Linked DNA regions of Oryctolagus cuniculus. The protein of the gene in region 3 interacts with the protein of the main gene of each other region in a pairwise test. Links are inferred from orthologs where the notes say so. Each region holds a gene or a part of one and is shown on either strand. Other genes may lie near its edges. The genes, in order: ID2, ID1 and MYOD1.

What was found.
Region 1: the proteins of MYOD1 (region 3) and ID2 interact in a two-hybrid assay, tested with the Homo sapiens proteins (2 studies listed by BioGRID). The link is inferred for Oryctolagus cuniculus from reciprocal best matches to the Homo sapiens genes MYOD1 and ID2.
Region 2: the proteins of MYOD1 (region 3) and ID1 interact in a two-hybrid assay, tested with the Homo sapiens proteins (5 studies listed by BioGRID). The link is inferred for Oryctolagus cuniculus from reciprocal best matches to the Homo sapiens genes MYOD1 and ID1.

The regions. Positions count from the first base shown.
Region 1 is NC_091433.1:193,253,010-193,256,229, reverse strand, and holds ID2 (DNA-binding protein inhibitor ID-2), read left to right. Parts: upstream 1-1,218; 5' UTR 1,219-1,293; coding exon 1,294-1,617; intron 1,618-1,710; coding exon 1,711-1,755; 3' UTR 1,756-1,762; intron 1,763-1,937; 3' UTR 1,938-2,514; downstream 2,515-3,220. UniProt on the Homo sapiens protein: Transcriptional regulator (lacking a basic DNA binding domain) which negatively regulates the basic helix-loop-helix (bHLH) transcription factors by forming heterodimers and inhibiting their DNA binding and transcriptional activity.
Region 2 is NC_091442.1:26,079,604-26,082,890, reverse strand, and holds ID1 (DNA-binding protein inhibitor ID-1), read left to right. Parts: upstream 1-1,548; 5' UTR 1,549-1,660; coding exon 1,661-2,083; intron 2,084-2,282; coding exon 2,283-2,324; 3' UTR 2,325-2,730; downstream 2,731-3,287. UniProt on the Homo sapiens protein: Transcriptional regulator (lacking a basic DNA binding domain) which negatively regulates the basic helix-loop-helix (bHLH) transcription factors by forming heterodimers and inhibiting their DNA binding and transcriptional activity.
Region 3 is NC_091432.1:48,597,234-48,601,459, reverse strand, and holds MYOD1 (myoblast determination protein 1), read left to right. Parts: upstream 1-1,426; 5' UTR 1,427-1,712; coding exon 1,713-2,339; intron 2,340-2,812; coding exon 2,813-2,891; intron 2,892-3,152; coding exon 3,153-3,403; 3' UTR 3,404-4,000; downstream 4,001-4,226. UniProt on the Homo sapiens protein: Acts as a transcriptional activator that promotes transcription of muscle-specific target genes and plays a role in muscle differentiation. Together with MYF5 and MYOG, co-occupies muscle-specific gene promoter core region during myogenesis.

The DNA.
Region 1 (3,220 bases), on a different chromosome or scaffold from region 3:
CGCCGCACTGCCCCTCAAACGAGCAGAGCCGGGTGCCTGGCCGGAGAACCGGGTCCCGCAGGGTCTCCAGGCGGCCCGGACCGCGGTCCCCGCAAGCAGCCGCCTTACCGCGCAGGGGCACGAGCGCTCGGGACTGGCGGGGCCCTCCACGCACGGAGTCCGTGCGCCGGAGCCAGCCCCAAAGGTGCGTGTTCACGCGGCTGTGGTGGTACACAGAGCACTGCATCGTGGGCCCGAAGTGCCCGGACACAGTCAGTCCCTGCGCGGCACAGACGCGCGGCGCCTCCCAGGGCTGGAGCCAGGGGGCGGCCAGAGCCCGCAGGGCCCCGCGTGCGGGTGCGGGGTCCCGGCGTGGAGGCCGCCCCGCTGCCCCTTCCGGGCACGCACCGCGGGCGCCGAGCAGGCCTGGGGGCCGTGGAGGTCAGGGGCCGCCTGGCCCTCGCCGTGGCCGCCCGCGTGGGCTTTGCATCCAGGCTGGGCTCGGCCCCCTTGCTCCCTCCGGATGCGGGACCGGTGCGGAGCCCTGTGCGTGGCTGGCTGAGAACTTTAATCAGACTACGAGCGTGGAGTTCTTTTAACTAGTCAAATAAATGAAGTTGCGTCCAGTACCCGTGCCAAGACCGCCAACCTCGCCCACGGCGGGCACCGGCTGTCCGAGAGCCGTCCGCTGCGGGACGCGCCATGTGCAGACCCCTGCGGCTCCCGCAGCCGGCCCGCTCCCGCCGGGGCACCCCGCAGCGCGGGCGGGCCCAGTCCCCGGCGAGCGCCCCCAGCCGGAGTGCGTGAGGCGGGCCTCGGCCTCTGGTCCCGCAGCTCTGCCCTGTCCGGGAACACGCAGCCCGTCTTGCACGCGTCTCCACTCTCCCCCGAAACGCCCGCTGTGGGGTTCCACTCGCCGGCGTCGCTGTGGCTCCGGACGGCGGCGGGGCTCGACCCGCCCGAGCTGGGCACCAGCAGTGCGGGTGCGCGCGGGGGCTGCCCCGCGCCCCGCGCCCGGCCCGCGCGCACTGTACTCTATTTACCCCCGCAGCTGCGCCCGGCCCGCCCACCCCGCGGGGATTGGCTGCCAACGCGGAAGGACCGAGCGCTCGCCCCGCGCCCGCGCCCGCCAATGGCGGTGCCCGCTCGGCCTGATGGACGCGCCGCCCTCCGCCAATGGGGACGGGAGGAGGCCCGCGCGTGCGGCGCCGGCGAGCGCGTATAAAAGCCGGCGCGCGGGGCCCGGGCTCCACTCTGCCGAGCGCTGCGCGCGGAGCAGGCGGCGGCCCGGCCTCTCCCTCCCCCTCGGTCAGCATGAAAGCCTTCAGCCCGGTGCGGTCCGTCCGGAAGAGCGGCGTGTCGGAGCACGGCCTGGGCGTCTCCCGCAGCAAGACCCCGGCCGACGACCCCATGAGCCTGCTCTACAACATGAACGACTGCTACTCCAAGCTCAAGGAGCTGGTGCCCAGCATCCCGCAGGACAGGAAGGTCAGCAAAATGGAAATCTTGCAGCACGTCATCGACTACATCCTGGACCTGCAGCTCGCGCTGGACTCGCAGCCCGCCGTGGTCGGCCTGCACCACCCGCGGCCGCCGCTGACCACGCTCAACACGGACATCAGCATCCTGTCCCTGCAGGTGAGCCGGCCGGCGCCGCGGGCGCGGGCGGGGGGCGTGCGTGCGTGCGGTCTCCCCGGGCTGACGCGGGGCCTGCTTCGTCTTCCTCCCCAGGCGTCCGAGTTCCTGCCGAGCGACAGCAAGGCGCTCTGTGGCTGAGCGGACGGTGAGTGTGCGGTGCGGGAGCGCCCCGCGGGGCGTGCGTGTCCGCGCCGGCCCGCGGGCGCACTTGCGGGGAAGGTGGCCGGGGGCTGCCCGTGCGGGGCCGCGAGGAGCCCCGCGTGTTTCCGCTCGCGCACCTGCCCGCCGCGCCTCAGCTGTGCCTCTCTCTCCTTCTGCAGGTGCCCCTGGCTTGGTATTTTTTTTATTTTTTCTCTTTGCACAACAACAAAACACCAACAAACGCACAGGACCTTGGAAGGCGAAGCGGACACGTCGAATGGACCTTTTGCAAAAGGGGAAAAAAAATTTTTTTAAAAATTTTTAAAATGGACGGAGACGGAGGAACGCCGTCGTCCGCGCGTGTCCTCGGCCTGCGCTGCGACTCTGGTTCCTGGGAGACGCGGGCGCCTCGCGTGCGGGTGGATGGCGGTTCCCTGGGTCCCGCGCGCGCTGTGGGCGCGAGCACGTGGAAGTCGCAGGCGGTCGCCGGGTCGCAGCAGACTTTGCCTTTCTGCAGAGGTGGAGCGTGAATAAAACCCCCAGGCGGTCGCCGAAGCCAGAAGTGCCCCTGGGCGCCGTGTACATATTTATATATAAATTATACGTCTATACATATATATATATATGGGGCGAGCCTCCCTGTACAGCGGCAGACGCACACCGCGTGACGACGGACTCGTTCAGGCTGAACTTTTTATAAAAGTTTGCTTGTCAACTTCACCGTTTTATACGAAATAAACCGAGCGCGCTGGCCGAGCCGTGCCGCCTGCGTTATTTCGGGCCCTGAGCGCTGCCCTGAGCCAACCGGACACGCGCGAGTGTGAGTCCGCGGGGGCTGTGCGGGGAGCGCACCGCGCGTCTGACGTCGGCACCCGGGGTCCCGGGCGGGGAGCCGGAGCCCGGCGGCGTCGGGCAAGGGGTCGGGCCGGCTGGGAACCTGGGATGAGCGCCCTGGGGCCGGGGGCGCTTGCCGGCACGGGCCCCGGCCCCTGCGGCTCACCTGGGAGCGGGAGGCGAGGCCCTGGGGTCCGGATTCCCGCGGCCTGGTTTCGAGCGGGGAAGGGAGTAAACGGCCGGTCCACCTGCGCGCAGGCCGCGCCGCGCGGGGGAAAGCCCTGCGGAGCGCGCCCAGGGACGGACCGGGCCCCTGGGACGGCTGGCGCCGGGGTGGAGGCGGGCACCCAGGGCAGCGGGGCGGGGTAGGGGCGGCTGCGGGCTCCGGGCCGAGCCCCGCGGGCCGCCGCTGCTGATAATGGTGCCGCGAGGGGAGGTCAGGGTTGCGGGGGCAGCCGTGGTGGCGCCGGGCGGGCGGCCGCGCTCTGCGGCTCGGCGCGGGCCGGGACGCGGCCGGACCGTGGAGGCCGGGCTCCCCCTGCTGGCGGGCGCAGGGACTGCGGGGAAGCGAGGCACTGGCGGCCCCCGCGCGGGACCGGGGCGGCCGGGGGGGCTGCCCGCGTGGGTT
Region 2 (3,287 bases), on a different chromosome or scaffold from region 3:
CCCCGGGGGGCCTGGTCTCCTTTTGGGGAGGTAGTGGACACGCTTAGGGTTCCCGCTCCCTAACTTCCCGGAACAAGAGAGCCTGGCCATAGGCAGCGGAGGAGCCATCATGCCAGTCTCCTATGCAGGCAGCACTTTGTCCCTGCTCAGGCCTCAGCTTCCCCGCTGGTGGCACGCCCGCCCGGGGCTCTCAGAAGGAAGGAGCTGCATTGCCATAACGAGCCTTGTGCATCAGCTGCGACTCCTGCAGACTTCCTAAGCCTCGGTTCTGCACGGCTCCGCTCGCCGGACGCGCGGAGAGAATCGCCGAAAACCCGAAGGCAAAGGCTTCCCACCGTGCCTGTCGGGAGGCGAGAATGGGGGTGCTGCCCGCTCTCGAAATACCAGAACGTGAAGCACCCGGGGCTCTCGGAGCAGGCACGACTCGCAGAACTGCAATTGGAACTCGGGCCTCTTTCCCCTAAAGAGATTGGGGCGGGCGGGGGGGGGACCCTCCCAAGCTGCGGGGCTGGGCAGGGGGCCTCGCAGGTGTGGGGCCGCGAGGTACGGCGACCCCTGCCCGGCACCCGCGCCCGCGAGCGCCGCATTCCCAGGCCTCCCGCCCGGGGTCTGCAGGTGACGGCGGGGGGAGCGCGCGGACGCTCCCGCCCGGTTTGCCGTCTCCATGGCTACCGCCCGCGCGGCGCCAGCCTGACAGCCCGTCCCGGTTTTATGAATGGGTGACGTCACGAGCCTGGCGTCTAACGGTCTGAGCCGCTTGTTCAGACGCTGACACAGCCCAGCCCGGGAGAGAGGGGGGCGGCTGGAGCGCCGCAGCTGCCGCGCCGTGGGAGGGAGACCCCGCTCGAGGTCTTCGAGGGGAATAAGAACCCAGCCAAAAAAGGGAGAAAAACTAAGTCACTAGCTGCTGCAGATGCCTGCAGGCAGGGCTGCACACGCGGGGTAGAGTCCTCTGTGCGCCTTCTGCGTAGTTCGGGGCCCAGAGACCCAGCCCCTAACCCTGCAGGGATCTGGGTGGGCCCTCCGGGCCCCAGGAGCAACCACAACTGCGTTCCCCGGCGACCAGCCCCGGGAGCAGGGTGTAAAGGTCAGCTCGCCTTCAGTTTCGGCCCCGGTTCCTGGAGGTCCGAGAGAGGCCGGAAACGCGGGGGCCAGCCCTGGGCTCTCTGGGAGACCCAGAGGCCACCACGTCTCCGTCCGGGCCTCAGTTTACCTCATCTGTAGAATGGAACCGAGAGGTGAGAGCGTGAACATAGGAATATGGCTCCTGAGGCCTTTCAGTCATCGGCAGTACCGCTCTCGCCTCCTTCCTGAGGAGCCCAAAGCAGTGCCCACCGCCACACGCCGCCCTGGCCGGTGCCCTCGCGCCCTGCCCGTTCCCGAGACCTGGGCTGCCGTTCCACCCACTGGCGGGTGCGCCCCTGGAGCAGGAGGAGGGACCCAGGAGGCCGAGGTCACGCCCCCAGGCCCCCATTGGCTGCTTTTGAACGTTCTGACCCCGCCCCTCGGGGGGGGCACGTGGCGTCTCTATAAAAGCGCGAGGGTGGCGCGGCGTTCTCGCATTCTACAACCGTCTCCTGCGCGCTTTGAGCTCGCTTGCAAGCCCGGCACTCGCCTCCTCGTCGCCTTCGGCACTCTCTCCCAGCCGGTCGCCAGAACCATGAAGGTCGCCAGTGGCAGCGCCGCGGCCGCCGCGGGCCCCAGCTGCGCGCTGAAGGCCGGCAAGGCGGCGGGCGGCGCGGGCGAGGTGGTGCGCTGCCTCTCCGAGCAGAGCGTGGCCATCTCGCGCTGCGCGGGCGGCGGCGGGACGCGCCTGCCCGCCCTGCTGGACGAGCAGCAGGTGAACGTGTTGCTCTACGACATGAACGGCTGCTACTCGCGCCTCAAGGAGCTCGTGCCCACCCTGCCCCAGAACCGCAAGGTGAGCAAGGTGGAGATCCTGCAGCACGTGATCGACTACATCAGGGACCTGCAGTTGGAGCTGAACTCCGAGGCTGAGGTCGGAACCCCAGGGGGCCGGGGGCTGCCCGTGCGGGCTCCGCTAAGCACCCTCAACGGCGAGATCAGCGCCCTGACGGCCGAGGTGAGCCCTGGGCTACCGTCGGGGCTGGGTCGGGGTCGGGGGCTGCACCGCGTCCGCTCCATGCTTTGGGGCACCTGGCGGGGCAGGGATGCCCAAGGACACCGGGAAAGTGTCTCCTGGGGAGGCGGCGGGTGGGCTGCGCCTGCTGCACCTGCCCCCCTGTGCAGCCCTCCGTCTCACCTCTGGCTCGTTTTCACAGGCGGCGTGTGTTCCCGCGGATGATCGCATCTTGTGTCGCTGAAACGCCACCCCCAGGCGCTGGCGGACCCCGGCGCTCCGGGGGGCAGCACGAGTCAGCGCTCCCGGGTAACCCCCAGTGTCGCAAGACCCGGGAGAAACCAGACAGATCTACGGCCCTCGGGCCCCTGCCGAGTCCGGCCCGGGGCCGGGGGCCCGCGGTGGAGGGGCCGACCCTCTCTCCACGCCTACCAGCCACCAGAGACTTTGGGGGGTGGCATTCCCCCGTGTGTTTCTATTTTTTGAAAAGCGGACATTTTAAAAAATGGTCACGTTTGGTGCTTCTCAGATTTCTGAGGAAATTGCTTTGTATTGTATATTACAATGATCACCGGCTGAGAATATTGTTTTACAATAGTTCTGTGGGGGGTGTTTTCTTTTTTGTTATTAAACAAATACTTTAGATGGTGGTGAAGTTGCAGTGACTTCTCTCATGGCGGGGAGGGGAGGGGAGGGGCTGGAGCCGGGGGTTGAACTCTGACCCTTGCTGCAGCTGGTGCTGGGAGGAGGGGGCCTGCAGGGCCACATCTGGACTGTGGCTCTTAGCGACCTGAATGAGTGTTTCCGGTGTCTTTAAAGTCTTTTCTTTCCCCCCATCCTTGGCCATTTCCCTGCTCCCTAGTGTCATAAAATTAAATCCTCTACACGCTGGGCTCACTCTCAGAGTGGTCCGGGCCATCTGGATCACCTGGGGAGGCTGTTAAAATGCAGATGAACCTGCTGGGGGCCCCCTCCGGGATGGGGGAGCAGTGAGGCCGTTGAAGTGGGAGAACCAGGTTGCGGGCCTCCCGCCTCCCCCCACCAGGTGGGACCCAGAGCCCTCTCTGTCCCCAGTTCCCCAGAAAGAGGTTGCTCTCGCAGCAGGCTGCCCTGCGGCTCCCAGCTTGTCCAAGTGGGTGAGCAAGTTGGCAGGGCCCGGCTGGGCACAGCTGCTGGGCCACCTGCTTTGGGTCTGCACCCAGCCGCC
Region 3 (4,226 bases):
GGTGGTGGGAAAGGCACTTCAAACTTCAATGACCGGATTCCAGAAGGGGTGAATGGTGGAGAGCAATTTGCAGCCCGAGCAGGGAGAGGAGGGTGAGGACTGCAGATTCAGGAAGATGTTGTGAGGCCCCATGGGGGGCGGAGGGGTGTGCTGAGGCTTGTAGGGGAGCCAGATTTGGGGCGGCTGCCTGCTCCTTCTGCTTCCAGCCTCTCCAGGATGCCTGCAAGGGAGCAACACGGCTGAGGCTTCTGCAGGAGCCGAGCCTGGGGATTGCTTGGGCACCTTCCGGGGCTTTGTGCCCCAGGGGAGGGCTAGGGAGCCCACTGGGCACACTGCTGCAGCTGGTGCTCAGGACAGAGCAGGCCCTCTGACTACCATGGCCCTGCACCTCGGACCGAGGACTTCTGCATCCTTGATCTCTCCAGCTTCTCAGCACTAAGCAACTGCCCCAAGAAAGTCCTCCTATCCCCATATTGAAGCAAACGGCAACTGAGGCTGGGGAAGGAGGTGTGGCTTCCACAGAATCACACAGCTGGGAAACTGGGGATTTGGGTCCCCCCTGGTGGGCAAATGCCATTCTCAAAGAGTTCTCAGGCCAGGTCCCCGCCTCGAGGATCTCTGCGAAAGGCATTTCCCGGGTCTGCGGGGGGTCTGGAGCAGACGCAAGCCCTGCGCAAAGGGAGTTCACTTCCCAGCCCAGGAGGCTCTCAGCCTAGCCCCAGGGACACCCGGCGTCAAGGGCGAGGGTGGGCTGGGCGTGAGTCCACCTCACTGCCTGCAGACCCCGCACGACCCGAGTTCGGAGAGAGGGGCTAGATTAAGCTCCAGCAGCGAGATCCACGCCCGAATAGACGCAGCTGGGTTTCTCAGCGTTCAGGAAAGACGAGCAGGGCCCGCGCAGCCCTCTGAGTGACTCTCAGGACAGGGACAGGGACTGGCCGAGTGGCTCTGCCCCCGCGTCCGGTGCGTCTCTGCCTGGCCCCTCCGTCTCTGGGCCTCTTTGGTGGTGGTGGTGGGGTCTCGCCTTTGCACCACCTCAGCCCTAATTGTGTCTCTGCCCCATTACTTTGCATCTCTCTCAAATCTCTCCTGATCTCATTTCTGCCCCGGCTCTGCTCCTGGTTTCCGCACAAATACGGGACCGAGTAAGAGCCAAACTCCGCCCGGAGGGAAGTGAGCGCCCAGGGCCAGCGTTTCCCGCGAACACAGGAGTCGCGTGTTGGAAAGGGTGTGCCTAGGAGCCAAGCGCAGCGGGTCAGGCTGCCAGTCTGCCGCGCTCCCTGCTCCGGGAGGGACCGGAGTGCGCGCGCGCGCGCTGGTGTCCACGGGCGGGAGGGGGGCCACTCTCTCGCCCTGGCGGCCACCCCGAGGACCCAGAGCTCCGCCCTCCTCTGTTCCTATTGGCCTCGTGCTCCCCCGCCCCCGCCCCCTCAACCGGCTTGGGCTCCCGGGGCGCTTAGGCTACTACGGATAAATAGCCCGGGGCGCCTGGCACTAAGCTAGGGCCGGGGAAGCCCCAGGGCACTGCCGCCGCTCTGCTCGCCGCAGGTCCAGCTGGCCAGGACGCGGCGGGGTGGCGGACAGTCGGGTGTGCCCTCAGACCCCCGGCACTCTGCCATCGCACGGCTGGGGTTCCCCAGCGACAGAAAGTTCCGGGCAACCCCTGCCGCCCGGGTTGGTGAGGCCGGGCCCGCGCCGCCCTGCGCTGGGACATGGAGCTGCTGTCGCCGCCGCTCCGAGACGTGGACTTGACGGGCCCCGACGGCTCCCTCTGCTCCTTTGCCGCAGCGGACGACTTCTATGACGACCCGTGTTTCGACTCCTCGGATCTGCGCTTCTTCGAGGACCTGGATCCGCGCCTGGTGCACGTGGGCGCGCTCCTGAAGCCCGAGGAGCACACGCATTTCCCCGCCGCCGTGCACCAGGCCCCGGGCGCGCGCGAGGACGAGCATGTGCGCGCGCCCAGCGGGCACCACCAGGCCGGCCGCTGCCTGCTGTGGGCCTGCAAGGCGTGCAAGCGCAAGACCACCAACGCTGACCGGCGCAAGGCCGCCACCATGCGCGAGCGGCGCCGCCTGAGCAAAGTGAACGAGGCCTTCGAGACGCTCAAGCGCTGCACGTCCAGCAACCCCAACCAGCGGCTGCCCAAGGTGGAGATCCTGCGCAACGCCATCCGCTACATCGAGGGCCTGCAGGCTCTGCTGCGCGCCCAGGACGCCGCGGGCCCTGGCGCCACCGCCTTCTACGCGCCCGGCCCACTGCCCCCAGGCCGCGGCGGCGAGCACTACAGCGGCGACTCGGACGCGTCTAGCCCGCGTTCCAACTGCTCCGACGGCATGGTAAGGCCTGGACGCCAGGCGGAAGGAGGGGAGGCAGCCCTGGGGCGTGGGGGTGGGGGAAGGAGTGGGTGGGTCTGGAGCCTTTCCCGAGGGCGGGGAGCTGGCCCTCGCGACAGGCATGGGCGGACAGGGGCCCGACCCAGAAGTGGACTCGCGTGGCTCCGGCGGCTGTCGCTGAGGTAGCCTAGGGCTTTGGAAGCACGCAGGACGGGTACAGTCGGCACGGCTGGGACGCTGTTACAAAACTTGTTGAGGGATCTGCTCCTTTCCTCCATGGATCCCTGTTTCCAAAATGCAGATCTGAGTCCTGCCTCGTTTGGCTCTGGACTCTGCGGTGCGCGGCTCCTGTCCACCCAGGACAGATCCGGGACCAGAAGCCCTCGGCTGAGTCTCGGGGAGCTGGGGAGGGGGTTGCTCCTGGGAGTGGCGCTCCGGTCCCGCGGGCCTGACGCGGTCCCCCCAACCCTTTGCAGATGGACTACAGCGGCCCCCCGAGCGGCGCGCGGCGGCGGAACTGCTACGACGGCGCCTACTACAGCCAGGCGCCCAGCGGTGCGTATCCCGCGCCTCCTCCATGTCCCTCTCCCAGCCGCCCTGGCTTCCCTCCACCTAGGACCCCCCCAACCCCGCCCCACATAGCCTGGCAATGGTGCGGGGGATGAAGCCCTGGCGGGTCGCGTGCCCTGCCGTCGTCCCGCACCCTCGCTGGATGGTTTCAGACTCCCGCAAGTCCTCCGAAGCACAAGGGGGCTCAGGGGTGGAGGAGGTAGCCGCGGCTCCACCCCTGCTCACTCCCCTGCCCTCCCCGCGCAGAACCCAGGCCCGGGAAGAGTGCCGCCGTGTCCAGCCTTGACTGCCTGTCCAGCATCGTGGAGCGCATCTCCACGGAGAGCCCCGCTGCGCCCGCGCTCCTGCTGGCGGACGCGCCACCGGAGTCGCCCCCTCGCCAGCAGGAGGCGGCCGCCGAGAGCGAGGGCGAGCGCGGAGCACCCACGCCGGCCCCGGACACCGCCCCGCGGTGCCCTGCGACCGCAAACCCCAACCCCATCTACCAGGTGCTCTGAAGGGGAGGGCTGCCTCGTGCAAGGGCGCCGCTGCCTACGCGCCCGAGGGACGGAGCCCCTGGGGTTCCTTCGTGCCCCCAAGATTGAGCTTAAAGCGACCCTCCGCCCCCTCCTCCGCGGTGGCAGAGACGGGGGGAACCCGGTCCCCGGCCCCAGGGCGAGCTCACGGTGGGTGTCTTCCACGCCGCGCCTGCCCTGGCCGCTGGGCGATCGCCGGCAAGCCGGGGCTGATCCTTCCGCTTCCTCGACGCCTCCCCAGTAGGGGGAACTGGATCGCCGCGGACCCAAGCCCGGCCCCGCCCCACCTCCGTAGCTACATCCTTTCAAGCTCCTCCCATCGCACCTGCGGGATGCGCGCCAGTCCCGCAGGTAACCCACCCCAACCCCGCCCTCCGGTTCAGGACCACTTTTTATAATACTTTTTTGTAATCTATTCCTGTAAATAAGAGTTGCTTTGCCAGAGCAGGAGCCCCGAGGGCTGTATTTATCTCTGACGCATGGTGTGCGGTGCAACGGCGACTTTCTATGTTTATACGGCAGGCGGGCGAGCCGCGGGCGCTCGCTCAGGTGTTCGAAATAAAGACGCTAATTTATGCCGCGGTGGCTCCGGCTTTCCCCGGGCTCGGGGGCGGGATCCGGAGGAAAACCCGCGAGCTGGGCCAGCTGTCTCGCAGCGACCCCTACAGGCGACAGGCAGATTGCAAGGAGGAAGACCGCTCAGGGTCGAGGGAGTGGGGATGCCTCCAGAACACACACTGGGGTTTCTCTGAGTTTGATCTGCATCACACGCAAGGCGGTGGCTCTCATGGAAGCGTGCACATCA